Cricetulus griseus: one gene and its partners. The protein of the gene in region 1 interacts with the protein of each later gene in a biochemical or structural test. Links are inferred from orthologs where the notes say so. Each region holds a gene or a part of one and is shown in the gene's direction. Other genes may lie near its edges.

Evidence for each region.
Region 2: the proteins of Usp21 (region 1) and Yod1 form a complex in vitro, tested with the Homo sapiens proteins (2 studies listed by BioGRID, with this or other methods). The link is inferred for Cricetulus griseus from reciprocal best matches to the Homo sapiens genes USP21 and YOD1.
Region 3: the proteins of Usp21 (region 1) and Isg15 form a complex in vitro, tested with the Homo sapiens proteins (2 studies listed by BioGRID, with this or other methods). The link is inferred for Cricetulus griseus from reciprocal best matches to the Homo sapiens genes USP21 and ISG15.
Region 4: the proteins of Usp21 (region 1) and Aurka form a complex in vitro, tested with the Homo sapiens proteins (2 studies listed by BioGRID, with this or other methods). The link is inferred for Cricetulus griseus from reciprocal best matches to the Homo sapiens genes USP21 and AURKA.

What each region holds. Positions count from the first base shown.
Region 1 is NC_048598.1:21,588,574-21,595,626, forward strand, and holds Usp21 (ubiquitin carboxyl-terminal hydrolase 21), read left to right. Parts: upstream 1-565; 5' UTR 566-771; intron 772-1,570; 5' UTR 1,571-1,591; coding exon 1,592-2,191; intron 2,192-2,925; coding exon 2,926-2,985; intron 2,986-3,159; coding exon 3,160-3,280; intron 3,281-3,490; coding exon 3,491-3,602; intron 3,603-3,790; coding exon 3,791-3,946; intron 3,947-4,443; coding exon 4,444-4,508; intron 4,509-4,700; coding exon 4,701-4,804; intron 4,805-4,982; coding exon 4,983-5,069; intron 5,070-5,324; coding exon 5,325-5,403; intron 5,404-5,615; coding exon 5,616-5,723; intron 5,724-5,811; coding exon 5,812-5,926; intron 5,927-6,122; coding exon 6,123-6,213; 3' UTR 6,214-6,484; downstream 6,485-7,053. UniProt on the Homo sapiens protein: Deubiquitinates histone H2A, a specific tag for epigenetic transcriptional repression, thereby acting as a coactivator.
Region 2 is NC_048598.1:58,326,246-58,334,656, reverse strand, and holds the start of Yod1 (ubiquitin thioesterase OTU1), read left to right. Parts: upstream 1-3,956; 5' UTR 3,957-4,062; coding exon 4,063-4,123; intron 4,124-4,158; coding exon 4,159-4,425; intron 4,426-5,482; coding exon 5,483-6,186; 3' UTR 6,187-8,411. Other genes in the region: Pfkfb2 (6-phosphofructo-2-kinase/fructose-2,6-bisphosphatase 2), read right to left, coding at 1,002-1,098. UniProt on the Homo sapiens protein: Hydrolase that can remove conjugated ubiquitin from proteins and participates in endoplasmic reticulum-associated degradation (ERAD) for misfolded lumenal proteins.
Region 3 is NC_048595.1:119,536-126,988, forward strand, and holds Isg15 (ubiquitin-like protein ISG15), read left to right. Parts: upstream 1-3,254; 5' UTR 3,255-3,408; coding exon 3,409-3,411; intron 3,412-3,935; exon of another isoform or gene 3,936-4,057; coding exon 4,058-4,549; 3' UTR 4,550-4,598; downstream 4,599-7,453. Other genes in the region: Agrn (agrin), read left to right, coding at 6,659-6,865.
Region 4 is NC_048599.1:6,972,941-6,980,785, forward strand, and holds part of Aurka (aurora kinase A), read left to right. Parts: intron 1-1,415; 5' UTR 1,416-1,420; coding exon 1,421-1,462; intron 1,463-5,001; coding exon 5,002-5,242; intron 5,243-6,753; coding exon 6,754-6,808; intron 6,809-7,417; coding exon 7,418-7,609; intron 7,610-7,845. UniProt on the Homo sapiens protein: Mitotic serine/threonine kinase that contributes to the regulation of cell cycle progression.

The sequences.
Region 1 (7,053 bases):
CAAAATATTGAGGTACATAAAACAACTGCACTAGGTTGGGAGGGGGTAATGAATGTCCTTTCAAGGGTTAACAAATGGGAGAAAATCTATCTCCCTGTTGTTGAGATTTGCTTTTCCCTTTAGCAGTGAGCCATGCTTTCCTTACTGCCTGAGCCTGCAAAGGAGCTGGAAGAAGAGTTTTACAGGTTCAGGGTTCTATTCCCACTAGGGATCTCCCATCCCTAGGTGGAGTGTTAAATGCTTCTCTATTGGTTTTCAGGCTGGACGCGGACCCGCATGCAGCTTTCCATGCTGCTTCCCTCTTGTTTGGAAAGAGTCTCTGTTGCAAGTCCTTCCGTTATTCCAGTTTTCGGCTCTTCATCCCTATGAACCACATGACGGGATGAAGGACCTTGACCCCAGGGACTTGCGGCAATGGTTTAAAGACCACCATCCGGCAAGGCCGGGAACTAGTGGTTCTAAAGTTGGCTGCGTTTCCATGGTGTCGGTCGGGGAGCCGTGGGGGCGGGCTCACGCAAGCGCCGAGGAGGTGGGTGGGAGGATTCCGAGTGTGGGCGCGCAGGCGCCTTAGGGGACTGTGAAGCCGGTGGCCGGTGGCCGGGCCGCACCAACAAAGATGGCGGTGGCCCTTGCGGCGGGAGCAAGCTGGGCTACAGCTGCCGCTAAAGCTGCAGCCCGGCCCGCGGGGAGGCTGTTCGGGGTTAGGAGGGGGTGGCCCTGAGCTGGAGCTGGACCCCGGCTGGCCTCCCCCGCCACCTCCCCGGGGCACAGGTATGGGCCGGGACCTTAAGGCGGGGTGGGGTGGGGTGGGGTGGGGGAGCTGAGGGAGAACGGATGCAGACCCCGGAGGACGGTCACCACAAAGGGAGAGGCTCGCGGTGCCCAGCGGGGCCTGGGGGAAGTAGGCTGGAAGAGCAGCATTCTCGGACCGCGGGGACTATGCCGCCGGACACTGTAGCCAATCAGCGGCCTCGGCCTTTCTGCCCTCGAGGGGGGCGGACCCGGGTAAAACCTCGCCGTGGTGGTGGGAGAGGTGCAGAATTTAGGGGTCAAGTAGTTCGTCCTCCATCCCAAACCATTGCTCCCTGAGCCCACATAGCAAATGGGGGCCCAGAACTGGAGGAGGGAGTGGATTGCAAACCACCCATTTAATCGGCTTCGTTTGCAACCCATAAGGGCAGGGCTTGAGGTTGGAATGCCGATTCCTGCATCCACGGTCCCAGGTCTGAGGCATATCACACTTGACTAGCCAGATAGGAGGATTTTTAGGAGTTTGTAAATTATGAAAACAGCTGAGTCTGGGACTGCCAGTGCTTTTCAGTAAATCTGTAGTCTATAGAGAGGGGGTGGGGCGTGAAAGGCCAAAATGATGGGCTACTATTCAGTCATTCATTTATTAAAGGAATACTAAGTATTTTCCTTGTGTCAAACATTGCTAAGTTCTGGGGATGCGAGAACTGATTTTATAGACGTGATTCATGCCCTCAGTACATGTAGAAGCCAGCTTGCATGGTAGCCTATGTCTTATCTCCCTTACTAATTCAAATGCTGACTGACCCTCTGTTCCCAGGTCCAGCCTGCGGTGTCCACAATGCCCCAGGCTTCTGAGCACCGCTTGGGCCGAACTCGAGAGCCACCTGTCAATGTACAGCCCCGAGTGGGAGCCAAGATACCATTTCCTCCCCGGGCCCGCAGCAAGGAGCGCCGAAACCCAGTTCCTGGGCCAAACTCCGTGTTACGACCTTTGCCTCCCAGGCCAGGTCCCCCGGATGAAAGGCTCAAGAAAGTGGAGCTGGGTCGGGGTCGGACCTCAGGCTCTCGTCCTAGAGGCCCCCTTCGAGCAGATCATGGGGTCCCCTTGCCTGGCTCACCACCCCCAACTGTGGCTCTGCCTCTCCCATCCCGGACCAACTTAGCCCGTTCCAAGTCTGTGAGCAGCGGGGACTTGCGTCCAATGGGGATTGCCTTGGGAGGGCACCGTGGCACTGGCGAGCTAGGGGCCGCACTGAGCCGCTTGGCACTCCGACCTGAGCCACCCACTTTGAGACGCAGCACTTCTCTCCGGCGTCTTGGGGGCTTCCCTGGCCCCCCTACCCTGCTCAGCATACGGACCGAGCCCCCTGCTTCCCATGGCTCCTACCACGTGTTACCTGCCCGGCCCTCTGAGCCATTCTACTCTGATGACAAGATGGTGAGGACTTTCCGGCACGTGTTGGTCTCCCATGCTCATGTTCCTCTTGCCGCCATATGTATGGCTTTCTTGTTCCCTGCTCCGAGTCCCTTTGTCAACCCCTCATTGCACCAGTGGACTCTTCTCTCCGAGGCCTTCTAGATATTATCTTGGGTTGTATGTGATTCTCCAATTTGGTGTGCCACATTTCTGGTCCCTAGGGAATTAACCTAACTATTTAGAATTCTTCTTTGGGTCCTTAGGCCCGCCCTTTTAAGGCAACTTCTCTCCTAGGACTGGGCCTAGACCTAATTAATCCCTGGGCTGAGGAGGGGCGGAGCTAGAGCACCTGCTGATATGGTTACACATTTCCTCAGCTAAGTGAGCTAAGCTGCTTGCAGTTGGAGCCAGCAGGAGAGGGTGCAAGAAGGGGCCACGGGGGCAGGAGGGGGATTTGGGGGCAGTAAAGTGGGGGTGGGGAGCAGCTGGGCAACCATGCCAGTGCTTGAGGAGTTGCCTCAGGAGCTGCATCGCCGGCTGGCCGGCCAGCGGAGTAAATGGGGAATAGGTGTGACAGCCATGGCTGAGTCTGTGGTACACTCAGCTGTGATGGGTTTACTGCTCATGACCAATGAGGTAGGAAGACCAGTGAGGGACAGAGGCTCGAGCTGGGGCGTGAGCAGGGGGTTGGGGAGACATCCATCAACATGTTATTGAAAGTGCCAGTCGAATATGACTGTACTCTGACCTTCCAGGCTCGTCACACACTGCTCCTGGGCTCTGGTCATGTTGGCCTCCGAAATCTGGGAAATACAGTAAGAGCCATCTTCCTGTCCTTTCTCTGTAGAAGGAATGTGAAATGGTGTTGGGGGGTGGAGACAACCTGCGGATTTGGGGAAGGCATGTAGAAGGAGAGCCCTGAGGCCCCCTCGAGGCTTGTTGGGCACCAGCCTTGAAAGGTAATGGCAGCGTCCCTACTGCTTCCCCAGTGTTTCCTCAACGCCGTGCTACAGTGTTTGAGCAGCACTAGGCCTCTCCGAGACTTTTGTCTTCGAAGGGACTTCCGGCAAGAGGTGCCTGGAGGAGGCCGAGCCCAGGAGCTCACGGAAGGTGGGCACCAATTCCTGTCCCTTCTTCTGTTCTCTTCCCCCACCCCCTTCCTTCAATTCTGTCCCCCAGTACCTATGATCCCCACCCCTCCAATCTGACAGTTAACAGCTGTTTCTCCAGTTCCTCCATTCCTAGAGGCTTTCTATCCCCGGAATCTCCTCTTGCCTGCTCTTCTGGACATTAATCCTTGTGTCACTGTCACACCAACAGCCTTTGCGGATGTGATTGGTGCCCTCTGGCACCCTGACTCCTGTGAAGCTGTGAATCCTACTCGGTTCCGGGCTGTCTTCCAGAAATACGTCCCCTCCTTCTCTGGATACAGGTGGGGAAACTGAGAGGATAGAATTTCTTTCTGCCCAAATCGGGGGCTGGGGCCAAGCAGTGGCTACAGCACCATGATTCTGAGCCTTGACATTTTCTACACTGAGGAAGTAGGGACCCATATTTGGGCAGGGAATACTGTCTGTGGACTAAGAGGGGATCAGTTACCCATATTCTGTCTGGCTGTAGCCAGCAGGATGCCCAAGAGTTTCTGAAGCTACTCATGGAAAGGTTACACCTTGAAATCAACCGACGAGGCCGCCGGGCACCACCAATCCTGGCCAGTGGCCCGGTTCCCTCTCCACCTCGCCGAGGAGGGGCTCTGCATGAAGAACCTGAATTGAGGTAAGGGTTGCTCCCCCTTGCTCCTCTCTCTCCCCTGTGGTTCTACCAGTAGCATTCAGTCTTCAAAGAACTGAGCTAACTGAAACTGAAAATGTAGGGCCTGGGGGAGACCCTTTAACAAAGGAGGGGGAATAGTTTGAAAGTATAAGAAATGATGAAAGGAAGGGGGTGAGGCTGAAGGATGAAGATAGAGGGATAAAACAGTGTTAGGAATGCCACTAAACTGGGAAAGGAGGGACCTTTTACAATGAAACACACCAGTGGTGCTTGTAGAGGACGGATGGCACTCTCCCCTCGTGCATATTCTTTTTCCTCTCATCTTGGATTTCCCCAGAAGGTTCTTGGAAAAATATTACTCCTTTGACTAGAAATCTAGGGAAGGAGCTGGTATGTGGGTCGGGATCAGGGCCCTGTGGATAATCTCAATGGTTGGGGTGGGGCTACCCAGTATCACAGCTGTCTCACGGTACCCTCTCCCTTCCCTTGATCTGTGGTAGTGATGACGATCGAGCCAACTTAATGTGGAAGCGTTACCTGGAGCGAGAAGACAGCAAGATTGTGGGTATGGAACGGGGCAGAGCAGTGGGGATTCGGGCTTGGGAGAAGGAGGAAGGGGAACAAAGCTGGATGATGAGGATATGGGATGGTGTGGAGAGTTGGGTGGCAGCAAAGGAGTGGGAAGAGACAGGATTCTGAGAGAGCACCTCAGGCATCCAACGGTGACTTTTCCTCCTGCCTTTTTGTTTCTGTCTAGACCTATTTGTGGGCCAGTTGAAAAGCTGCCTCAAGTGCCAGGCCTGTGGGTATCGCTCCACGACCTTCGAGGTTTTTTGTGACCTGTCCCTGCCCATCCCCAAGGTGGGATTCCAGAGGATTCCAGGGGTGGATGGAACATGGGTTTTGTGACCCACCCCTACGTGTATGGGGGAACTATGTGGGTCTCTGAAGCAGAATTGAAGCCTGGATTATGAAAAGATAAAAGATTTTAAAGGGGGGGATTCAGAAGATGCTGACCCTTACTTCCCCCTCCCCCCAGAAAGGATTTGCTGGGGGCAAAGTGTCTCTGCGGGATTGTTTCAGCCTTTTCACCAAGGAAGAAGAGCTGGAGTCAGAAAATGCCCCAGTATGTAGGGGTTTATAATGGTGGGAGACTTGGGGGTCTGTCTGAATAAAAGGAGATGCATGCTTCCTTAGCATGGGAATAGCAGTTACATGTCTGGGTGTGTGTTAGCATCTCAGGTATGTCGTAGTATGCCTGGGCTAAAGGGGGCAGGGCAAAGCAATGAGAAGCATACTAAATTTATATGGGTATTGGGGTGTCAGAAAAACCAGCCGAGGTGAGAGCACATTGACCTAAGATTGTTTGCTGTTTATTTAGGTGTGTGACCGATGCCGGCAGAAAACACGAAGTACCAAAAAGCTGACAGTACAAAGATTCCCCCGAATCCTCGTGCTCCATATCCTAATCTTCCAGTTCTTATTTCTCTTAGGATATCTCCCATACATTCTGTTTCCTCACCTTCACTGAGTTTTCCTTGGGAAAAACCTGCTACCCCAACTCTCTTTGCCATCTTCCAGGACACGTTGGGGGAATGGAGGGTACTGAACTTCTTACCTCAGCTCCCTTCCAGACCTTCAGCCTCCCAAATGCTCCTTAACCAGGGCTCAGATCTGAATCGATTTTCCACCTCCCGAGGCTCCATCAAGAAAAGTTCAGTAGGTGTTGACTTCCCATTGCAGCGACTGAGCCTAGGGGACTTTGCCAGTGACAAAGCCGGTGAGTCCGCTGGGGGAAATGTCCTAAGGAACCTCCAGGAGAGGGACACAACTCTTGATTGTAGCAACTGATCTTGTCTAACCCACAGGAAGCCCTGTCTACCAGCTGTATGCCCTCTGCAACCACTCGGGTAGTGTCCACTATGGACACTACACAGCCCTGTGCCGGTGCCAGACTGGTTGGCATGTCTACAACGACTCCCGGTGAGAACAGCCTCTTATTCAACCCCTGCCCCATCCCACTGCAGCTCCTATGAGGCCCCAAAAGATGAGATCCTGACAAAGGACAGGTGGAGTCTCTCTCCCGAGCTCAACCTGGGTTCTCTGAGGTTGATTCTTGTAGGAAGGAGGGAAATACACAGAAATGACTACAGCCATCCCCCATTTCCCTTCTTTGTAGTGTCTCCCCTGTCAGTGAAAATCAGGTGGCATCCAGTGAGGGCTACGTGCTGTTCTACCAACTGATGCAGGAGCCACCTCGGTGCCTGTGACACCACCTTGAAGCCCTGGCACCTGTGAAAACCTTTTCAACACCCTCAAGCCCCCAGGCTCCCCATTTACCTCAGAGACGTCTATTTTTGTGTCTTTTTAATCGGGGAGGGGGGGTTGGTTGTAGCTCCCATTATTTTTTTTATTAAGAAGCACCCTTCCACCTTGTTTCCTGTCCCTTGTACAGAGCTCACCAGGCCCTTGACCATGTACAGCCCCCAGAACCTCTGCAATCTCACTTTTTTTGTGAATAAATTTATTAAGAAAACGGTGTTCACGTTTGTATTTGCGGGTAAGAGGGAATGGATATCCTTCCAGACTTTGGTTCAATTGGATCTTTCTTGGACCCAGTTCCGTCTCTGAACAGGCGGGGGCGCTCTCAGAGCAGAAGGAAAAGAACAGGGATTGAGTAGGCCTCACTCACACTTGTGCCTTAACAGTTTAGTGGTATACTAAGAAGACAGGCCTTGAGACTTGTGAAGCCTCGGAGAAGCCTAAAGCTAGAGTGCAGGCATTGGCACGCCGGGTTTGGCGGAGAGGGGAACTGCCCCTCGAGAGCAAGGCACCCAAGAACCCCTGTTGACAAACACTGGTTTCGTTGCCGGGTGGCCCTAGCTCCCGTAGGGCCTGGCTGTTGCTAACATCAAAGAGCTGTTTATGGCGCTACTTCCCCACGGACGGGCCTCCAAGTGTCTCTCTCCAGCCAAGGCTCATGGGGCCCTCCAGGGTTCTCACCACGGGCCTAGGAAGCTTGAGCTGGGGAATGCTAACTCCGGGATTCGGCTTTTCTCTGTCTTGGCCCCTGGGGAAGGCAGTACCGGTTATCACAACTAAGTCAGCCT
Region 2 (8,411 bases), about 37 Mb from region 1:
TCCACAAGGAAGACCAAGCATGCTAAAACACTTCTGTGGTTTCCAGAAACATCTGCGGACCAATGTCCCAGACTTTTGAGGAACTCTAGAGCCTTGCTGAGGAATGTAAAGTCAGGAACAAGAAAAGATGTTTCATTCCCCTGCCACCATTTCTGCCATCTCTGGGCTTATGGTGAAAGAATCTGCAAAATGCAAGGCTAACCCTGTAAGAATGTAAGGCACCCAAGACACTGAGAGTCACATGTCAGGACTCATTCCCCTCAGGCCTGGAGGTGCAGGATGAGTACTGGCTTCTACCTGCAACTTCTGCTTGTTTATTTGTTTTGAGACAATGTCTTGAGTACCCCAGGTGTACTCTGAACTAAGCACAACCTTGAACTCCTGATCCTGCCTTCATCAAATCAGGGTTTGGATTACAGGTGTGTGCCATCACGCCTGGCTTCTGCCTGCAATTTAGACTGTGTTCTAGAACACAGTTTAAGAGATAAAGGGAAACTGAGATAGTGACAGCCCCAGGTTAATCCTGTACCTTGACACTCTGTCATCCTATGTATGTAATAACTAGCATCCAACATCAGGCAAGTGTTCCCAAATCCAATGAAAGCAACAAGAAACTCTGGGCCACATAGCAGTCAAGCTCCAAAGACACATTTTACTAACCCTACTTGTTTGGAATAAGACATTGCCCACTTTGTAGACTTTAATCCCATGTCATGTCCAACACAGTGGCGCACATCTAAAAAATAGGAGAATTGCATGAGCCACCGGGCAGCCTGGGTTACACAGTAAGTGCCCAACAAGCCAGGGTTCTGTAGCAAGACTCTGTCACAAAATAAGGAAAACATAAATTGCCATGCCAAAGAATTACTATTTACTCCCACAGAGCAAGAGTCTAGGATACAAATACATTTCCAGGACCAAACCAAAAAAAAAAAAAAAAAAAAAAAAAAAAAAAAAAAACTCCTAAGAGAGAGCAGCCTTCACTCTTTACCAGAACTCACAGCATTTCTTCCCTGCCTTCCGCAGGTTTGAGGTATGAGGTTTACAGTTGCTGCTGCTGCTGCTTCTGTGTTCTGTGGAAGATGAATTCCCAGACATGGTAGTTCTTCAGGAGGCACCTGGGAAAAGAGATAGGGGAAATACAAGGAAGGGAAGGAAGGTGTCCCTAAAAACAATAGAGATTATTGTGATACAAGCAAGGAGTCCCTACCAAGATTCAGATCCTGCCTCTTCCTCCAATTCAAGCGCACTTGTTCTTGGATAATTCACAAACCCGACTCCTCACCTATAGAGCTGCACTCCAACTTAGAATTTATTTGTTGACCTTGTTCACATTCATGTATCTCAAATCCAGGAAGCCTTCCAGTAATCTTTCAATAAAGCAGATTTTCCCATCATGATTACTTCAGTTTGTTTTATAGAACTGACAAATCAAAGATAACCGACTAAAGTGTTTGTCCAATTCTCTAGACCTCACATTCTAGTTTTAAGAATACGGAGAGAACGGAGGTGGCAATCAGAGGTGAGGTGGAGGTGGGGAAAAGCGAAGTGCATTGTCAAGAAAGCAATCTCAATCCAAAGGTAAGACTCAGTCTTGAAGCGGGAAAAAAGAAGAATGAGAAGGGGAACGCTGGAGAGGCCAGGGGCAGAAACATGTTCTCTGAAGGAAGAATTGTAACGGGACTGCGATATCCCTAGCGTGTTACACTCTCCTCCTCTGTTCTCCATTCTCAAGTCGTCCTCCCTGCCCTCTCCTTTCCACCCTCTGGGGCTCAGCGGAAGAAAATGATTTACATACAAAGTAAGCCTTGGGTCCTAATACCAACTACAGGGTAGGAGGGACCGAGTCTCACTTCTCAAACCCAGATAGATACCAAGGAGCTCAAGACAAAAGGTCGTATTAAAAAAGCAAACAAAAAACCCTTGCACGGCTCCTCGCCTGACAGCACAAATCCTTCAGTCCTAACAGCTGCGGCTCAGCTCCCCAGGAGCGCCAGGGGAGCTACACTTCCCGAAGGGCTAAGCACCTTAGCCGCGCCCGCGCAGCACCCCATCCTCGCGTCCTCGCATCCTGCTCAACCATCGCTCACCCTATTCGACCTGCCCTATTCGTCCTCGGGGCTGTGGATCTGGTGTCGCCACCGCCACCGGAGCGCCGAGAACCAGACCTTGCCGACAGACTGAAGCCCCGGACCCCCCCTCCCTCCCCGATCACGTGGCCCGCTGGCTCCGCCCACCAGCGCATCAGCCCTCACCTGGAGGCAGGCTGGACCAATGGAGCACCTGCAGGGCCGGAGGCGGGCTCCTGGGGAGGCTGGGCTGCCTCGGGGAGGATCTGTGATCGCCTAGGGCTGCGGGCTCCCAGACCCGACGACTCAAGTGGAGCTTGGTGGCGTCGTTGCTTAGGAACAAATCGAGCTGAAGGCGGGGTTAATTAAAAAGCCTTACCTTTTTTTTTTTTTTTTTTTTTTTTCCCTTACTCTCGCGAGACCTATTTGACTGACATCCTGCGTGGGAGTTGACTGGGGAAAGAGCGAAGATTAACGCCTTCACGCCTGAACCCCAGCTAGGCTCAGGTTACTCCCCAAGTCTCGGGGAGGTAGACATGTGCTTTTAATTGAGAGATGCCCGGCTGGCTACCAGGGTGCGAGAGCTGACTGCTAACCTAAGCCAACCAGGCTCCAAACCCGAGCTTCCCTGGCCCCAGGTGGCTCCAAGCCACGCCCCCTCGTGTCCTCCCACTGCCGCGACCCAGACTGTGTCACCCGTGGTCATCTGGAAGAGCCAGGGAGGAAAACTGCACCTGCTCCTGGTGTGGGGGGTGGAGAGGGATAACATTTGCTGCTGCAGTGGGTTCTTTTTTTTTTTTTTTTTGTCTTTTTGTTTGTTTTTCGAGACAGGGTTTCTCTGTGTAGCTTTGGAGCCTGTCCTGGCACTCGCTCTGGAGACCAGGCTGGCCTCGAACTCCCAGAGATCCGCCTACTGCAGTTGGAGAGGCTTAGGGAGAGGCTGTGTCCGGGCGTTTTGTTTTGTTTTGTTTTTTGTTTTTTACACGTTCCAGAAGTACTTCTTTCCGAGGTTACCCCGTCAGCTCAGCACGCCGTTGGCACTTGACGGTCCCCGGTGGGCGAGCGGGCGGGGAGGGAGGGAGGGAGGGAGGGAGGGAGGAGGCAACTTGCTGCTTCAACGTTAAGTATGAAACGTGAAGGAACCAGGGCGGCTTTACTCGTGTCCTCTTTACCTGGGAATGGGGTCGTCTTCCAGCCAGTCCAAGTATGCGTTTCACGGCCCTAGTGCGTTACTCGCGCGTGCTACAAACCCTGTCATTATTTGGCGTTTACTGCACTTTTTTTTTTTCTTCTTTTTTAATGGGCAAGGCCGTGCCGGGCTCTCGGCACACACGGCTGGAAACCCGCCCGTGTGTCCGGCATGACCTTCCTCCCCGTCCCCTGTCTCTGAGCCGCATGAGGACGTGTGGTCCCCCCTCCCCGTGCGGGAACGAAGCGTCTTCCGCTTTGGACGCCCGGGGCGGCCCCGGGGGTGCGGTGACAGGCGTGCGTCCTCCTTGATGCCGCCGCCACCGCCGCCGCCGCCCCCGGGTGAGGCCATCGCCGCCCCCGGGCACGGCTGCTGACCTCACACAGTCTTTCTGAGGTGGCAGATGGACGCTTTCAGGTTCGTCTCACCCAGGAGTGCGGTCGTGCCGTCCCGTGAGCCCCGGTGAATCAGTTCGGGCCTCGTCAGCCGCCCCTGAGTGTCCGGCAGGTCCTGTGACCTTTGTTTTCCTTGTCAGCCATGAGTCTGCTTTTCCTGGTGTCTCCAGGGCGGCTTTCATCATCCCCGACCTCCCTGCAAGGTGACACCCCGCTCTGCTAGACTCGGGAACTCCCTCCCCGCCCTCCTCCCCGCAGCATAAATGCCGCGGACGCCCAGGGCGCCCCACCGCAGCGCCCGGGGACAGCCGGCCGCCCTTAGCACTTTAACCGTCCGCGCTCCGCCGAGGACCGACGCCGGTCCCTAAGCGAGGTGACGCGAGAAGCGCCACAGCGGCTACTTCTCGCGATGTTTGGCGGCGCCAAAGGCGGCCATTTTGGAGTCCCCCCTGCTGGTTGCTCCGCGGCGGCGGCGGCGGAGGCGGCGGCGGCGGCGGCGTCGTCTCCTCCCAGGCTGCGGCAGGGACCAAAGCTGGCCCCGCAGGTGGCCGGCCGGCCGACACCATGTGGCGGCTCCGCTGCAAGGCCAAGGGTGGCACTCACGTTTTGCAGGGACTGTCCAGCCGGACCCGCTTACGGGAACTTCAGGGCCAAATCGCCGCGATCACCGGGATCGCCCCGGGCAGTCAGCGAATCCTCGTCGGCTACCCGCCCGAGTGCCTGGACCTCCGCGACCGGGACGTCACTCTCGGGGACCTGCCCATCCAGTCAGGTACGGGCACCGGCCGGGACCGGGGAAGGGTCACAAGGTGCCGGTGGGCCAGCCGGGGGCCTGGCGGAGCCCAGCTCCGTCCGTCCGTCCGTCCGTCCGTCCGGGAAGGCAGGGCAAGTGTCAAGTCTCTTCGCTGCCTGGGAGGGAGGAGAGCCCGGAGCCTTGAACTTCGCGCTTCCCTGAGCCGGCTTCCGCGAGACCGCCCCATTCGTTTTGTCTCCTCTGCTTTCCCAAAGGACAGCAGGACCCCTATTTCTCTCTGTCCCCATCACCAGCAGGCCAGCAGTTGTGATAACCGATTTTAACCAATTGGTGTGTTTTGGGTTTTTTTTTTCTCTCTCTCTCCGGTTAATTTGTTTTTATAGTTTTGTTTCGTGTACGCTTACTTGTACTGTATTTACTGTACAGTTTTGTTCCCGGTATTAAAACTTGAATATCAGTGTTGATCATTAAAAAAAAAAAAAAAAAAAAAAAAGGCTTTCCATTCTGTGGCAAGGCCCCTCTGCACATCAAATGGTATGTATAGTCGTGCAAAGTGCCAGGAAAATACCACGGTGACCTACCTAGTCTGTGGTTAACATCTGAAAGATTCGTGGTTTAAAATGCAGAACACAGGAGGGGTTTTTGTTGTTGTTGTTTGGGTGTTTTTGTTTTTGTTTTTTGAGACAGGGTTTCTCTGTTAGCTTTGGAGCCTGTCCTGGAACTCAGCCACGAACCCAAAAGAGATCCACCTGCCTTTACCTCCCAAGCGCTGGTAATTAAAAGGCCTGAGCCACCACTGCCCAGCTTGTTTTTCAACTTATCTTTTCACATAAGGGTTTTTGTCTCCCAGGTTGAGATGCAACTTGAAGCATTTTTTTTTTTTTCCTCTTTTCCTTTCTGAAGACACCGTGAACTAAAAAACAAACAAGTGTTTCTGGTCTCTTGTTTACAAAGTCGAGTTCTCCTTGGTAACCCTGTTTTAACTCATGTGGCTCATAATTTACCTACGGAGTTGGCTAATAAACACCCAGTCTATAATTTCTCTGCAGTTCTGGATTTCTTTTATTTTTAACAGGTGACATGCTGATTGTTGAAGAAGACCAAACCAGACCAAAAGCTTCACCTGCATTTTCAAAATATGGTGCTCCTAGTTATGTCAGGGAAACTTTGCCTGTGCTTACCAGAACCGCAGTCCCGGCAGACAACTCCTGCCTCTTTACCAGTGTGTACTATGTCGTTGAAGGAGGAGTCTTGAATCCAGCCTGTGCCCCTGACATGAGACGTCTCATAGCACAGATTGTAGCAAGTGACCCAGACTTCTATAGTGAGGCAATACTGGGGAAAACAAATGAAGAGTACTGTGAATGGATCAAAAGGGATGATACTTGGGGAGGAGCAATTGAGATATCAATTTTGTCTAAATTCTATCAATGTGAAATATGTGTGGTAGATACCCAGACAGTTAGAATTGACCGTTTTGGGGAAGATGCAGGATATACCAAAAGGGTTCTGCTCATCTACGACGGTATCCACTATGATCCTCTTCAGCGGAACTTCTCTGATCCAGATACTCCTCCTCTGACCATTTTCTCCTCAAATGATGATATTGTTCTTGTACAAGCACTGGAGTTAGCGGAAGAAGCTAAAAGAAAGAGACAGTTTACTGATGTAAACCGCTTCACCCTAAGATGCATGGTGTGTCAGAAGGGGTTAACTGGACAAGCGGAAGCAAGGGAACATGCCAAGGAGACAGGCCACACCAACTTTGGAGAGGTGTGATCTGTTCGTAAGAGTTGGAGCCTACTACCTCACAGATCCAGAAGGCTCTGGGTTTCCCAATAAGCTATTCATAACCCTACAGAATAGAAGAACACAATGCTTGGACCATCCTTTTAACTTAAACCAGTATGACTGACCCTGAAATTCCTTGTTAAGATTAAAATTAGTGTGCAAGTTTACAGGTGTGTGTCTACGCTAGTGGCATGCCCTCTTTCTACTAGGGTGACGGAATAGGTGGCTTGGGTCACTTCTGATGCTAACCTGAAGACTGGATTCTATTATAAACCAGCACCCATCGGCTCTTTAACTTACAGAAGAAAACATCATATTTTAGGTAATGAGGAAAGCCTTGCAGAGGTTCACTGGACATATACTTCGGTGTCTCCAGTAGTTGATTCCTTTTAATAACTTTGAATGAGTTAGTAGTTTCTAAATTCTGAATTGATTCATCAGATGAAGATACTCAGAATTGTCAAAACTTTTTATATTGCAATTTGGTAGACTTTATAAGTGTATCTAACAACTTCTAAATGCATAAAAAGCAATTTTACAGGGATGTGTGTATTCCTTGAGAATGTTATCCAAAACAGGAATGGGGTCCTGTTGGAGATTTTCTAGTGTATAAAGTAGAATGTATAAGGGGGAAAGGTGCCTGAAGCAGCTTACTGAAGCTTTAAAAGACTGTTGGCCTCATGTTTTAATGCAATTCATGTGTTGGTATTTGTCACATTAGATTTTTTTTAATGAAGCAGGGTATGCCTTCTTAATTGCTAATTTAGTTTAAAATTCAAAGTATCTTCAAATTTGAGTGGTTTTGTTTTGTTTTGATGTTTTTCTTTTGCTGTTTTACATTAAATCTGTCTTGAGGGATTTCATTCCCTCAGTTGTCCTGCTGAAAGCACTTCTTCCAAACAAGTCTTCCTCAAAGGTGTCAATTGATTTCGTAAATGTGTTTTTCATAGATAACAGTGTTCATAGCTCCACTTTGATCTGCAAGTTAGTACTTTGTTTACCTGTGATCTTTGACTTTCAGTTTTTAAATAATTGATTGGGTTTGTTTCACTTCTAAAATATAAAGTTTTAAAATCCTTGCCTTATACAGCTCTCTCAGAATCCTGCTACCTAGTATCAGATATGTAGCCATTTGCTTGATGGATTAATCCTCAAGACACACCCACTCAAAACTTAACTTCACTATACAATCTTCCAGGTAAAGTTTTCTACCTCTTAATTCTTCTAAAGATCAGGGATCTTTAAGTTGCAGTTTGTGTACTCTGTCATACAATGTAAAGAGGCATACTGTTGTGAAGTTTTGTCATCTCAATCTCAGATTTACTGTTTAGCTCAGGCAACCATCGGTGCACTTTAAAGCACTTACATCTTTTCCCGTGTATCTTAGTAAATGTTATCAAATTAAGGTCAACCCTTGGCCTTTTACTTGGTAGTGGTAACGATGTAAAATCAAGGAATATTAAAGTGAACAATTTAGAAAGTTCCTTTAAAGAACAATTGAAGGATTCACAAAGTATGCTTCACTCATCAGGTGACATTCTTTCTTGATTTGAGACAAGGTCTCCCTATGTGTTTCTGGCTGGCCTGGAATTTACTATATAGACCAGGCTCTTCAAACTTGAAGTGGTCCTTCTGCCTCAGCCTCCTGAGTGTTGAGATTACAAAGGAGGGGCCGCCACACCTGACCGGATGACTTTCTTGAAAACCTTTATGCACATAGCCAGTCAGGCAATAGCAATTATTATAGTCATATAAATTGAAAATACTTAATTTTTGTGTTCCTTTTTTGTTTGTTTGTTTTGTTTTATTTCTTTAACTGAGCCTTAAATATAGCACCAGTGAAGTTAGAACACTGAACATTTGGCATTTGTGACATGTGTAAATGACTCACAAAAGTCTCTTTGGTCCAGATGATTTTTTTTATCTCTTTTATTTCCTCTATAAAATAATTTAATTTAAAACTGTACATTAAAAATATAATACTGGGTGACATCCATTAATCGAGTTGTGTGCATCATATTTATAAAGTCTGCCTTCCTATACCACTTGAGCATCCAAATTCAATGTTTCTAAAATTTTGGATCCAGAAGTTTGTTCATGTAACAATTATTTATTAACTTATAATGTGTAGGGCATGTTCTATTTTTTGAAGATAAATTCCTGTCACTTTAAATTTGAGTCTGCATTATCTACAGAGGATTAGTTTAGTAAAT
Region 3 (7,453 bases), on another chromosome or scaffold:
TACCCCTCCCCTGCCTGACCAGTGACACTGCGAGGGCAGAGCACCAAAAGGAGCTCTCTAGTTAGAGGAGGGAAGTAAGCGAGTCCGGTGGAGGCTCCTGGCTTACTTCCCTTCGAAGAGGAAGCACCGGTGGATATGGGAGGCAGTTCATGATTTCTCCAAAGGCTAGAAGACAAATTCTCAGGTCTGCAAAGCCTGGACCCATTGCATCTCCTCGCGGTCCCACCCCTCAAGGCTTTTGTAGTTTAAAGTCTGCCCCTTGTCTGCACAGTTGAACACCATCTGCTCATGTGCAATGCAGTTTCTAACAAGGAGCCTGAAACAGGCCTAGGAACAAACTTTGGTAGAAAGATGAACTAACACCGGCCACTGAAACTAGAGGGAGGTCAGATGGTTCCTGTCAGCTATCTGATAGGTGGTATCAGCTGATACTGCAGGGCAAGTGGAAGGACAATTTCATGCAATGTAAGGATAAAGATGTCAGTGGTGATACAAACTAGATGGGATGATGTCACAGAGCTAATGATAATATTCTGCATTAGCCCACTGCTAACTAGGTTCAGGGGGGAAAAAAAGGCAAGGAGGGTGTAGTTGCACATGCCTTTAATCCCAGTATGAAGGAGACAGTGGTAAGGAGATCTCTGTGAGTCTGAGGCCAGCCTGATCTACACAGTAAGTTAATAAGTTTCCAGACAATCAGAGCTACATGGTAAGATCCTATCTCAAAACACCCACCCCCAAAATATGGCAAATTTAAAATCTGTGTTTTTCAAAGGAGAACAACAGGGCCGTGGGCTGAAGAGATGGCTCATCTAACTGCTCTTCTACAGGTCCTGAGTTCAATTCCCAGCAACCACATAGTAACTCACAACCAACTATAATGAGATCTGTTGCCCTCTTTTGGCCTGCAAGGACAAATGCAGGCAGCAAACTGTATACATAATAAATAAATATTTTAAAAATTAAAAAAAAGAAAAAAGGGCCATTATTATTTCATGGTTGCTATTGTTTTCATTCTGAGTTACACTGCAGGGCATACAGACATTACAATCACAGACTAGCACTGGCACTCTGTATTAACTCAATGGTGGTTCCCTGAGACCACAGTGGAGGCTAAATGTCCTAATTCTGTTTCAAATCTGTCTTAGTAAGCCACAGAAAGTAAGTGACTAGTTTGTTGGGTTAGAGAAAATGCCACTTCTTCACAATTGGTTCTTCAGAGAGAAGGAAGCTTTTAAGAGGCCAAGTAGAGGGAATGACACTCCCAGGGTATTCTAGAAAGGGAACTCAGTGAAGAAGGGAAGGGATACTCTAGGGACTGTAGGACAGAGGCTTCTGACCCCAGAAAGGGTCTGGGGAACTCTGAGGAGCTTTTCTAGATAACAGAGTAAGCCAGCTGGTTCTGGAAAAAGTCTTCATCCGCCTAGTGTGTGAGGTTGATGGCTGGAAGGTGGCCACTAATGAATGCCTGTTCCAGAATCCCTGAAAAGGACCATATCTAGGTACCTTCCCAGAAGTGGTCTCTCTTTCTCTGAGGCCAGTTCTAGTCTGGTCCTAGTTTATACCTAAAAGAATTCTGCTTCTCAGCTCTAGGAAGCTCCTTTATGATCCCAGTGCTGAACTATACCTCAAAAGCCACTCCTTCTAAGACTGGAGATAAGTGGAGAGCAGAAGTCCAACGTGCCCCCCACACACACACCCATGCCTTGGGGTTGACAGCAAGGCTGGGCTGTTATGTTCTCAGATGTGGCATTATGCTGAGCCCGAGGAAGGAGTCTATGTGGAATCCCCCTGCTCTCTGAAGACTGCAGAAACCAAACAAGAAACCCGGTGGTGGCGGCACATGCCTTTGATCCCAGCACTTGGGAGGCAGAGGCAGACAGATTTCTGTGAGTTGAAGGCCAATTCCAGATCCATCAGGGCTGTTACACAGAGAAACTCTGTCCAGAAAAACAAAGCAAAAAGAAAGAAAGAAAGGAAGGAAGGAAGGAAGGAAGGAAGGAAGGAAGGAAGGAAAAGAAAGAAAACCAGACAAGCAGGGGACATAGAAGGAAGAGGCCTCAGGAACTCCATCCCATCTCTGGTTGCCATACTGATGGTTAAGGTTAACTTGTGAAATGGGCTGTCTTCATTCATATAGTCATTGGAAAGAAAAATAAGATCCTACTCCTTTAAAAATGTTTGCTATTGGGCTGGGAAGATGGCTATGTGGAAAGTAATTGAAGAAGACACTCAACATTAATGTTGACCTCCACATGTACAAGCACACATATGCATACATACATGCAACATAAATACATAAACAAAATTTATATATCCGATTCCTTCTTCTAGACTCTAAGGGCATCTGTACTCACATATGCACATCTGAACCCACACCCCATATCCAATCTACATAATTAAAAATAAACCTTAGGAAAAAATCTGAGGAGTAAGTATATAACTCAGTAGTTAGAGTACTTACTTAGCATGCATGAAGCTCTGGGTTCCCCATCACTGCAGAAATTGGCATAGAACATGTGTAACTGTAATCTCAGGATTTGGACAGGAAAGAAAGGAGGATCAGTTTAAGGCCAGTTTCATAGTGAGTTTGAAGTCAGCACGGACTGCATAGAAGGACTAGCTCAAAAACCATCTGACTCAATTATTACCTCTTCATGTAAACAATAAGGTCTTAATAAATTGTCCTAGGATAGAAATACTTCCTACTGGCCAGATGGTGGTGGTGGCCGAAGTGCATGCCTTTAATCCCAGCACTCAGTGGGCAGATCTCTGTGAATTTGAGGCCAGTCTGGTCTACAGAGCAAGTTCTAGGACACCCAGGGCAACACAGAGAAGTCTGAAAACAACAACAAAATGCTTCCTATAACCCCCCCCAGTACATTCTAATAATTATTGTCCTAAACAAATAACCAATAGTTGTTGTCTTTGGGCAGTTTTGATTGTCACTACTTTGTGCAGTTTCTGAATTAATTATTGTGGCATTTTTCCAAGATAACTAATTTTCAAGCTGATAAATGAAAAATAAGTTTCCTATTATTAGTTCCTATTATGACTTTTACATGCCTTATAAAGGATCTGAAATGCTGGATATTTAGGGGGTTTCATAGTACACAGGTCTCAGTTGTGATCTTGACCCTGGAGAGCCAGTCCCTTTTCTTCTCAGCTACAGTTTCTTTTCCTTTGGCTTTGGTTTTGGTTTTCCCATTCATTTAAGGTATGCCTTGGGAAAATGAAACCGAAACAGAAGGCTGCTCTGACTCCGCCCCTTGACACCCACAGCTCATACACTTAAAAGAGCTGCCCTCTCACACATCTGTCTCTGGATGTGAGAGAGAGAGCAGCCAGAAGCCTCAACAAGCAAACTCCTCAGTTCCTGCAGGGGACCTAGTGATAAAGCCTACAGCCATGGTGAGTCCTATTTGGGGCAGGAGCAGATGGTTTCCATTCTAGTTGGCTTTCCTCCATTCCTTGAGAGGGTCTTCAAGAGGTAGAATAGTCACAGTGTGGAAACAGAATATAGTTGCTCAAAGATCACTATGAGGGAGGGATTTAGGTTCCTTGTCTGCTCAGCTACCAGCCCTAGATCCCTTAGGGCTGGACCCAGAAGGATATCTTGGTGGGTAAACTGAAATGTGATGGTTGTAGGAGTTTGGTCCTTTAGAACTGACTCCTCTGTATCATCCCCATACCTGGATGGTCCCCTCTGATGGAGGAGAGGATGGGGGTGGGTATGGGAACTGGTCCTGTGACCAGTGCTTCAGATGTAGTAACTACCAGTACTGGTGCCAGAGGAGTCTTTAAACCTTTAAAGTGGTTCTCAACCTGTGGGTGAAGACCCCATTGGGGTCAAATGACCCTTTCACAAGGGTTGCATATAGAATATCCTGTATATCAGATATTTAAATTATGATTCATAACAGTAGCAAAATTAATTATGAAGTAGCAATGAAAATAATTTTATGGTTGGGGGTCACCACAACATGAGGAACTGTATTAAAGAGTAGCAGCATTAGGAAGGTTGAGAATCATTGCTAAACCCATGTGATGCCTGCAGACCTGGAACCTGAAGGTGAAGATGCTGGGGGGTGACGAGTTCCTGGTGCCCCTGACTAACTCCATGACGTTATCGGGACTGAAGAGGCAGATTTTCCACAAGACTGGTGTTCCAGCTTTCCAGCAACGCTTGGCCCATGAAAGTGGCAACATGCTACAAGAGAACATTGCCCTCATCAGCCAGGGCCTGGGCCCTGACAGCATTGTCATGTTGATTGTACAGAATTGCAACAACCCTTTGAGCATCCTGGTTCGGAATGATCGGGGCCGAAGCAGTATCTATGAGGTCCGGCTGACACAGACCGTAGCAGAGCTTAAGAGGCAGGTGTCCCAGAAGGAGCACATACAGGAGGACCAATTCTGGCTGAGCTTTGAGGGAAGGCCCATGGAGGACCAACAGCCACTGGGGGAGTATGACCTAAAGCCCCAGTGCATAGTGTTCATGAATTTGCGCCTTCGGGGTGGGGGGGTAAGGAGGGTATGCTATGCCTGAGGCCTCTATCCATAGCCTATGTTGGTAATAAAAGGTGATCCAATGAGAAGTTCTGCCTCCTGTGCTTGTCCTTCAAAAATGTCCATCAGTTGCCTTCTCTTCTACATTCCTGCTGAGGTCAGGTGAAAGAACCCAAGTCCATCCATTGTGACAAGGCCTTATGTTGCCAAGCTAAGGGACAAGGATTTCACAGTTAGAGCCTAGTCAGAGAATTCCCCTTCCAAACCCTTTGGGTAGTTCACATCTAGAGAAAGACACTTTTTCTGGGACCCAGTTCTGAGACTCATCCAGCCCCTCAACAACTAGTCCTGATCTCTGTATCTGGCTTAGGGACAGGTCGGGGTAGGTCTGTAAGTAATAGGATGAGGCTCCTAATGGGACCAGTTGCTCCCCAGATCCTTTGGAAATAGTGAAGGAATGTTCTCGGACCTGCCTGGGTGGGTTGTGAAGGAGGGTGCTGTATTTTTCTGTGGGTGTTTCTAGTCCCACCAGCACTAGTCCACAGAAGGGTAGGGCAGGGCCTCCCTACTCACATCAACCAGTTGCTATTTAGGACATGGGTGTTTAGCAAGTACACCTCATCAGGGCTATAAAGAGGGCCATTACTGGCATGTAAGGGGGCACCTGGATTCGGGGCCTCACTTGTCCACAAAGGAAATCCTATCTCAGATAGGAGGCACCCAATTGGAAAGCCTTCATCCCCTTCCTGCCTGATATTCCTTTCTCTTGTCTTTTCCTACTCTAGTTACTTACTCATGCTTTGAGGCAGCCTAAGGCACAAGCAAGTCAGGACAAGTACCTTTATGGTCCTGGGGGACCATAACATTTCAACCTTCAGACTTTAATTTATTTGTTTTTGGTTTTTTGAGACAAGGTTACTTACTCTGTGTAGCTTTGGAGGCTGTCCTGGAACTCACTCAGTAGATCCACCTGCCTCTGCCTCCTGAGTGCTGGGATTAAAGACGTGGGCAACTACCGACCGGCTCAACCTTCAGACTTTTAAAGAGAATTTGAGTGGAGACTCAGAAGCCCCCACTTTTGGTTGGTGTGTTTGTGCATACCTGGGTCAGGTGACTCCAGATCTAGGGTGTTGGTGTCCACTGTATAGACGTGATACCAAACCTTCACTGACCACCCCCTTCCCTGAAGCCTGTCAGGGTCCTGGTGGTAGTACCTTTTTCAGGAGGAAACGCTTCTGCCACACACACTTTATTCTAGCTTCTGGTTCAAAGGCCTGTGGCCCAGGCACAGCAATCCCAGTATTGTGAAGACAGAGCTGTCTTCTGTTTTTCTTTCAACCTTCTGTAGATCCGGAGCTAGCTTAGCTCTCCTGGGCCTCAGTTTGTACCCTGTACCTAGCCAGGCGAAGCTGGATAAGCGCCGGTCCACAGAGGGGGAGGGGAAGGAGGAGGAGCTGTGGTAGGTTCCGCAGCAAGACAAGAGAAGGTAGCCATAGGTCGATAAGAAGCATCCCACCGTCCTACCAAGCTAGAGGGCTGGTAGGCGGGTCTGAGCGCAATTCAGGCCAGTCACCGCAGACCGGCCACCGGCAGGGGGCGTAGTCCCTCTAGTCCACCTTAGAGCCTATGGCGGGGCCCTAAGGCCGCGGGAGCTCTGAGCAATCCTGCTGTGGGGCCGAAACAAGGGGAAAGAGAGGTCCAGCTCCGGTAGCCTCTCCTATCCAGAGAACCCTGCCGCTCCCGGCGAGTCCCTTGGAAGTCCCGGCACGTCGTCCCTAGATTATACATTAACCTGATTTCAGCTGCATTTCCTGGTGGGAGGACAGTTTGGGCGGACGGGGGAAGGGCGCCTGGCGCCCCACCTTCCCCTCCCCCAAGGCGGCCTGCCACCCACCCAGCTGAGGCCCCCGCCTCAGCTCGGCGCCGCAGTCTCCGGGCTTTGTTCGCTGCCCGCGCTGGTCGTAGGGAGCGGAGGCGGGCCGAGCTCCCAGGGGGAGGGGCGGTGCTGCTCAGTTCCCGCCCCTGGCCCGCCCCCACGCCGTCCGCCCTCCCACCTCCTCCGCCTAGCTGCGGTCCAGTTCTGTCCTGCCCCCTGAACGGTCCATCCCGCGCGCTCTCCCGGCTGCCTTCCGCCGTTCTAGGCTGCGCCATGGCCAGCCTGCGGCTATGTTGCCCGGCCCCTCTGCTACCACTGCTGCTGCTCTTGGTGGTGGCCGAGCGCACTCTGCCCGGCGCCAGCGGGACGTGCCCGGAGCGCGCCCTGGAGCGGCGCGAGGAGGAGGCGAATGTGGTGCTCACCGGTACGGTGGAGGAGATTCTCAACGTGGACCCGGTGCAGCACACGTACTCGTGCAAGGTGGGCCCCGGCAAAACCCCACGAGACCCCAGCCCTCTGGAATCCCAGCCGGGGGCCCTATTCCCCCGTGGTTCCCAGCCCCGAGGCCCGCCCTTCGCGTGCTGGCCGCCCTGCTGGGACCCCGGCCCCAAGCCGTGGGAACGAGACCGGAACGCTTCTGTAGCTCCAGCTCGAGCTCCCTTGGCGACCGCCAAGCCTGCGGGTGGGGCACCAGGTCCCGGAAAACTCTGCAGCTCCGGGCGAAAGTTACTGCCGGGCCGCTGTGGTTGTTCTCGTGGTGCCCAGGCCCTAGTTGCAGTGGTGGCTGCCCCCAACCTTGTCCAAAGCCCCTCTTGTTGAAAACAAGTGTACACTCTCGTCAAAGGAAAGGAATAGGGTTTGGGGAGGTGTGAATTGGGGACGAACTCGGACTGTGGTGAGGCCCTCTACCAGGGCGAGAAGGGGTGGTCCGCGGAGAGGAAGGGTGCCTAGTCTAATCCACAAGTACAGGGAGCCTTCGTAAGGTGCTGCAGTGATTGGGTTTCGGTGAAGCAAGAGCAGAGAGATAGGCAGAGAACTATGGCTGAGTCTTCCGTGCACAGAGAGCAA
Region 4 (7,845 bases), on another chromosome or scaffold:
GGCAGATCGGAAGCCAGCCTGAACTGTGACCCTGACTCAACAAAAAAAAACAAAAATAAGTCATCTCCCCATCCCCACACCCAGCGTGGTTGCTCACATCAGCAGTCTGAGGCAGGAGGGTAGCCTTGAGTTTGAAGCTAGCTTCCGATACAATGTGAGAGCCCTTCCCAAAAGTGAGGCCTATCTGGGAATGTAGTTCTTGTGTACCACGCCCTGGATTCAAATCCTAGCACTGCATACACTGGGCACGGTGACCATGTTTGTAATTCCCATTGGGGAAGTGGAGGCAGGAAGATCAGAAGTTCAAAGTGATCCTCCATTATAGCATGTTCAAAGCCAGCCTGGGCTACATGAAACACTGTCTCAAAAACAAATACAAGACTGATATGGTCCCAAATTCCTTTAATCCCATCACTTGGGAGCAGGTAGAAGGACTTCTGAGTTCCAGACTACCTAGGAGGGCTACACAGAGGTACCCCATCTCAAACCAAACAAACAAAATCCTGGCTCCACTGCAAATGTAGGAAATAGAAATATCTTAGGGATAGGATCCTGGTATAGCTAATCATGGGAAAGCTAAAATGCAGGTCATTTAGCCAAGCTGGCATCTGGTCCCAGGGCTCCGTTTCCTACAGGCTTCCTACAGGTGAGGTGGGTACAGCCCCAGTCCTTCACTTAATGCCTCCATCTCCTGCCTAGCCTCCCCCATCTTTGCAGTAGGGGCTTTTCAATAACACGCAGGTGTTTGTCCTGACTGCAAGCAGGTGTTTGTCCTGACTGCAACCCGTATCTGAAAAGGGAAGCCCAAGGCTGATTCCTGCTGTGTCAGGAGAACTTTTCTTACATGGAGTTGTAAATCTTGGCTGAATGGGATCTGTGAAGGTCATCTGATGTAGATGAGAAGGCGAAGGACTGGGATTAGGGGAAAAAATGAGGCCAAGCCAGGAGGGTAGGAAGTGACAGCTTGCAAGGTAATAGATAAACTGGGAAATGGGCAAATGTGATTGGCTGAAACCTGTTCCCCAGGAATCAAGTTAGTGCTGGGTTTGCCACCGTAGGGGAAGCTGAGAGACTGGCAATACCGTGGGATTCAAAAGGCCCAATGGGAATGGCTTGGGAAAAGAGTAGGTGAGCTTTGTTGTTCAAGGGTTATGGGAGATGGGACCATGGCCTGGGGTAGCTGTGCAGCAAATGGGTAACCCAAGCAGGCTGTATATGCTGGGCATCATGTTTTAGAGCAGAAAGAACAAGCCCAGGAGGGAAGAGAATGAGAGGATGTGAGGAGCTGGGTGCAGGATTGTCAGTGGGAAGTGTGAGGTTGCAGGTCACAGAGGCCTGTCTGTCAGAGGCAGTGACTGCGGAGCACAGCAGTACGTGGCTTCCTGTCAATGAAAGGCTCTTGTTTCTCTCTTCAGGTGACATGGACAGATGTAAAGAAAACTGTGTTTCCAGGCCTGTTAAGGTAAAAAGAATTACCTGTAATCACAATTGAATTTTGAAAAGTTGTTTTGAAATGAAATGCATTTTGTTTGTGTGCACCCATTGTTGTAATTTAAGAAAAGCAGCCTTCAAGAAAGATGGCATGAGACAGGGTTCAAGCAGAGAAGGGCTTTTTATTAGGGAAAGAGATCATAAATAGGGGAGGGGGAGACAGGAGCACCAGCAGAGAGAGAGGGAGGGAAAGAAAGAAAGAAGGGTGGGAGCTGACAGCAGCTGAGGGCGTATCCTGTCAGAACAGGCCAAGGATAGATGCCTAAATACTAATATTCCTCCCTCTTATTATAAAAAGATGAGTCATTAGAAAGGGGTAGCAGGTGAGGTGGGGATGAGACCATTGTGTTTTCAAGACTACTTCCTGCTGACCTGGGGGGCATCGTTCATCTTTGGGGGACCTAGGAAAGCTGGGGTGCTAGCCATGTCCTGGAGTAGCTGGCTGTTTCACTTCACTGTCCAGGCTCTGTGGAACCATCAAGGTGCCTCCTGAACCTGGCAAAATGCCGTTCTTGGTGAATCCAAATCAACACCCTAGGGCGTAAAGCGCCTGGTCCTTTCCCGTCACCACAGCATCACTGGGCATGTTTGGTAGTCTTGTGCCTCCAGCTCTACGGCCAACACCTGGTAGTACTGCAACAGTAGCCGATTAGGAATGGTCCGTGGGTCTCCAAAAACATCTCAATAGGAGCAAGGAGGCATAGATGGTGACACAGCTCCCATGAGTGAGGCAGAGAGTAAGACCCAAGGGTCTGCAATTCCTAGCATCCCAGGAATTCAGAGAGGGCCAGTTTCGAGACTGGCACAGGCTGTCACTCAAAGGGTGGGGGCCAAGGATTCTGAGCCTGAGAGATACAGTCGTCTGGTACCCAGACTCCGGGAAAAGCCAGAAGGCGAGGAAAGAACTGTGCTGGAGAAATGTCTCACATCTCTGGGAATGGTCAGAAGTGGATAACCCCACCAGAGACCCATTGTTGGTATGGATGGAAGACAAAGCCGTCAGATTTGTTGCAGGTGGGAGAGAGTGAAGGAGAAGCAGTTGGGTAGGGTCCCAGCATGAAGTGATTACAGAGTGCTGGGAAGCGGTTTTGGCAGGCGTATTCCACATGAGTGAGACAGAACAAGATCCCGTGGCTTTTTGGGGCGCTGGGGTTTGAGACACGGGATCTCTGTGGCTTTGGAGGTTGTCCTGGAACTAGCTCTTGTAGACCAGGCTGCTCTTGAACTCACAGAGGTTCTCCTGCCTCTGCCTCCCGAGTGCTGGGATTAAAGGCGTGCACCACCACGACCCAGTGATCCAATGGCTTATCAAGTGAGAAAGGCACAAGCCGATTTGGTGATTTTGTCTGTCAAGGGGCAGGGGCTAAAGTAACAGAGGGTCTAAGACTGGCATAAGCCACCCAGTGGGTCATCACACAAAGGGTGGGGCCAAGGACTCAGAGCCCAGTTGTATCAGGATTTAACCAGGCCAAAAGGCAAGATACCTTTCATAAGACAGAGGAGTCCTCACTTGTGGGAATAGCCAAGGTGGGGAAGGTGGAGTGGCTCACCAATCAGGATGATTTTGGATGGAAGTGAGGTTGTCGTTTGTGAACCGGGTTCTAGGGTGCTGGCATGCCTCAAACTGCCTTCGGGCAGGAGGAGATGCCAGGAGAGCATTTCCTGGTTAGGGAACCAATGTTGTAATTTAAGAAAAGCAGTGCAGACTCAAAATGGATGTCATGAGACAAGGTTGAATCAGAGGGTTTTTTATTAGGGGGAAGGGATCATAAAAAGGAGAAAGGGGGGGGAAGAGGTGGGGGAGGTGGGGGGAGACCGGAGACCGGCCTTTGGAGACAGGAGCAGCAGGAGAGAAGAGGGGGGAGGGAAGAGGGGGAGAGAGGGGGATGGGAGGGGGTGGGGCCTCTTAAAAGGGAACATAGTGAGTGTGCACACGTGGTGCTCTCAGTGGCTGCAGCTGAGGGCGAGTCCTGTCAGAACCCCAAGGGCAGGCCAGTACTGGTACCTAAATACTAACACCCATGCCAGAGTGTGTTCTTTTTACCATGTGGGTTGGGACTCTAACCCAGGTTGTCAGGCTTGGCTGCAAGAGCCCTCATCCACTGAGCCATAGGGACAGTTCCTGTGAAAGTTGTTCTGGTGTTCCCTTTCCTGACCCTGCCTGGAGCCCTCTTGTGCGGTGGCCTCCATTTCTGCAGGAGATGGCTTTGCACTTGCAGCCTCCTGCCGTCTCAGTGGGTGGTGAATCCTGAGCCTCTTTTTAAACAGAAGCAAGTCCTACTTACAGTGCAGTGCAGTAATAATGATTCTTCCAGGAACCTACATTTGTTTCTTCTGTGTCAGAGTTCCCCTTTTTTTCCTATTGAAAACTCAACTTCTTAATAATTTCTTATGCATTTTAGTTTTGGAGATTACATTCCTCCATCCCCCCATCACAGGGTTTCTCTGTGTAGCACTGGCTGTCCTGGAACTCACTCTGTAGACCAGGCTGGCCTTGAGCTCACAGGAATCTACCTGCCTCTGCTTCCCAAGTGCTGGGATTAAAGGTGTGTACTTCCAGGGCCTCCAAACCCTGGGTGGAGATTACATTCTTAAAAACTATTTCTGTTGGGTAGGGCATGGAGGGCACTGCACTCCTTTAGTTTCAGTGTTTGGGAGGCAGAGGCAGGCGGCCTGACACAGAGTCTGATCTGTTTTGTACAGTGAGTTCCAGGCTGGTCAGGACTATGTAGTGAGGTCCTGTTGGTTAAGTACTCTTGAAGTGAAATCAGGGAATTGAACAGTAATGCCATTAATCATCTTATAGAAAACTTGCATAACCATAAGTTTAGACTGCTTTGCAGAATTGCTTGCGGATGATGGTACTGGGTACAGTCATGGGTTTCCTTCAGTCTTTTTCCTAAACAAAATCCTAACAAGGTTTTGATAACAGTTGAGTCTGCTGCTGACAGATGGGCTCACTGAGGCTGGTCTAGGGCTCAGTGCTTCTCCTGCCTCAGCCTGCCAAGGACTGGGATTACAGGTGTGGGCATTACAGCATCCCTGGCATCGTAACCTTGCAGAGGCCTAGTTCTCGAATGGTTAATAGAGCAGGATTTGGGGCGAGGGTGGGAGGTGTCCTCACTTTTGCCACACACACTTTAAAATAGCTTCATCTCCCCCTCCTTTTAACTTTATTTTAAAAAAGATTTGTTTATTTTATGTGAATGAATGCTTGCTTACATGTATATCTGTGTACCATGTGTGTGTCTGACACTTGAGGAGGCCAGACGAGGGCATCAGAACCCCTGGATCTGGAACTACAGATTTTGAGCCACCGTGTAGGTTCTGAGAACCGAACCCAGGCCCTCTGAAAGGGCAGCCAGTGGTCTTAACTGCTCCGTCATCTCTCCGGCCCCCATTTCCATTTATTATCCACCATGTTTATGAGTTTTGTTAGATTTACAAAAGAAACTTGGTTGAGTTCTCAGGGTACCATCAGTCATAATGCCTGCTTTCTCTCTGTCTCAGACCACAGGTCCCTTTGGTCCAAAACGAGTGTTGGTGACAGAGCAGATTCCTGCTAGCAGTGGCCAGGCCCAGCGTGTCCTATGTCCTTCCAACTCCTCCCACCGTGTCCCTTCACAAGCACAGAAAGCTGTCTCAGGTCAGAAGCCAGTGCCAAAGCAGTTGCCAGCTGTCAGCGTTCCTCGGCCAGTATCCCAGCTTAGTGACCCCCAGAAGAGTGAGCAGGCATCACCTGCGGACTCTGGTAAGCCAGTCTTTTCACTGCCTTGGATCGTCATTCTTTTAGCTGTTGCTCAAAAAGCAAGTGGGTAGATTGGTGTTTATCCTTTGATGCCCTAGCTTCTATACCGTGTCTGCTGAAGATGAAGAGAAGATGGGATGATTATAGATGTAATTGCCGGCCCTGCCAAGGGGAAGCTACTGGATGTTCTTTGGAGCAGAAGGAATTGTTGCCTGTAAGGCAGAGGCTGCTGCTGCTGCTGCTGCTGCTGCTGCTGGTGTGTCTGAGAGCAAGGCTGAACTCAGACGGCAGTGACTGGAGCAGGGTTAATGTTGATGATTAATTAGCAGCTCAAGAGTGCTTGCTTGCAAGATCAGAGATATAGCCTAGATCTGCATCCCCACAACCCTTACAGCCGTTTCACGTAGACAGCCAGTTATTGGTACACATCTACAGAAGGGGCTAACACGCAGCAGCTAACTTGTCTTGAGAGGTGTGGGTGAATTTGCTGCCTCATTTAGGAAGCAGATTCAAGATGATTGGGAGGTAAGACTTGGAGGATGTGTGGCAGCTGTAACAGTGTGGGAAGAGAGAAAACTTGAGCTGGGTCCATATAAGGGGATAGAGGAGTTTGTAAAGTAAGCCAATGGCAGGCAGGCAGTCTGGAGGAAACCCACTTAAATTGTGTACATATATACTGGTCCCCCGAAGGGTGACTGCGGCAGGGTCAGATGGCTGAAGCTTATGTAGGATCCTGAGCTCCAGCAATGGAGAGGGGCCTGGGTCCTCCAATGGAGAGAGAGAGGCAGCTACCAGCTGGGAAGGACAGAGGAGCGGATGCAGCCTTTTAGCCCGCCCACTTTGTCCCCTTGCTGTCTGTCCCTTAGAAGTGCACCTGTGTCTTTAGGGGTCTTCTGGGCCTGCAGCTCCTGATTGGCAGGACAGAAGAGGTTAAGGTGTATTTTGGGTAGCTTCTTCTGGTCTCCGGTCACATTGTGGAGTCATGGTCCTCAGCCCCACAGTGGTGAGGGGAAGACATGACATGAGTCGAGAATGAATCCTGAGGAGACATTAGTTTGGACTTAGGTCGGCTGCCCCCACTGCAGGTGGAGAAGGTGGCTGTCGGTGGCAGCTTGAGGATGGAGATGCTGCTGCTGGTTTCTCTCTGGAAGCTCTTTCTGGGCAAAGGCTCCAGCAAGGATGGACAGTCCTGGTCTTGTTGGAGGGGAAGGGGGGCCTGCTCATATTTACCTTAGGAATTATGAGACCCCATGTGGCAGGAGTCAGGTTACGGGCTGTGGTTTCTGATTTAGTAGTCTCCCCAGGGAAGAAAATGAAAGGCTCAGGTTTATCATGCTTGATAAACTCACAGAGATCCAATCCAGCCTCTGCCTCCTGCGTGCTGGGATTGAAGGTGTACACCACCATGCCCCGCTATGGGACTATCCTTTGACTTATCTCTGTTCACAGACTTCTTTTTTCTCTAAGAACTATATAGTTGCTCTAAAAACAGTATTTTAACTTATTTCATATAGGAAATAATTCTGAAAACGATCGGGCATCAAAGCAGAAAACAGAAGACTCAAAAAAGTAAGCTTTCTTCCTCATCTCCCGGAGTACCATCTGGCTGCAGGCCACCATCCCCATTAAAGCAAATTTACCAGGGGACCCAAAGTTCTTTAATTTTTAGTTCTTTAATTATGCTTTTCATAGAAAATTTTATTAAAACTTTATCATTTAAAAAGGTAGTAAATAGAAAAACACCACACGTTAATATGCAGCACCGACTGGAAGACTAGACAACTCAGTGAACTTCTACACAGTTTGCGAGGCCGTTTGGAATGGCCTGTTGGGTCTGTCCTGGTTCACCTATGACAGTGGCTCTGTATCTCACACCAGAGTGACTCTGCCCCACAGCCTGTTGGCTTCTCTGGGGTTGTGCAGGGAGGTCCTGCAAGGGTGTGCTGTCTGTACTGTTGCTGTCCTGTGGTGGTGAGGGTTGTCTGTATTCTGGAGTGAGGGCTACTTTGGGCTGGGAAGTTAGCCTTTAAGGTTTGTGGCTCATTCTGGTGGTTCCGGTTAGTGCTTATTAACTGTATGGACTGGATGTAGTTGAGCATGAACAGGTTGGCAGGTTGACTGCTCATTGGCAAATGGTAGAGGTTTTTTCGTATTTTAAATGTTCACATTACTTTTTAGGAGGCAGTGGACTCTGGAAGACTTTGACATTGGCCGCCCACTGGGTAAAGGAAAGTTTGGAAATGTCTATTTGGCAAGGGAGAAGCAAAGCAAGTTCATTCTGGCCCTGAAGGTGCTGTTTAAAACGCAGCTGGAGAAGGCTGGGGTAGAACACCAGCTTCGACGGGAGGTGGAGATACAGTCCCACCTTCGGTGAGTGCTCCCCCTGCCGGAGGAGGAAAGGGAGCCAAGCCAGTGTGACTGCGCCCCGCTCATCTCGGGGCATTTCCCATAGATGCAGGGACGTGGCCCCAAGGAAAACATCACTCAAGCTGTTGACTGGGCTTTCTTTCCTCGGGGTGGGGGGGGAGGGCAGAATTAGGGGAGGTCCTGGCTAAGTCAGTGCATTTTGTTTTCTTCTATTTTCCCTTTCTGCTTTCAGTGTTTTC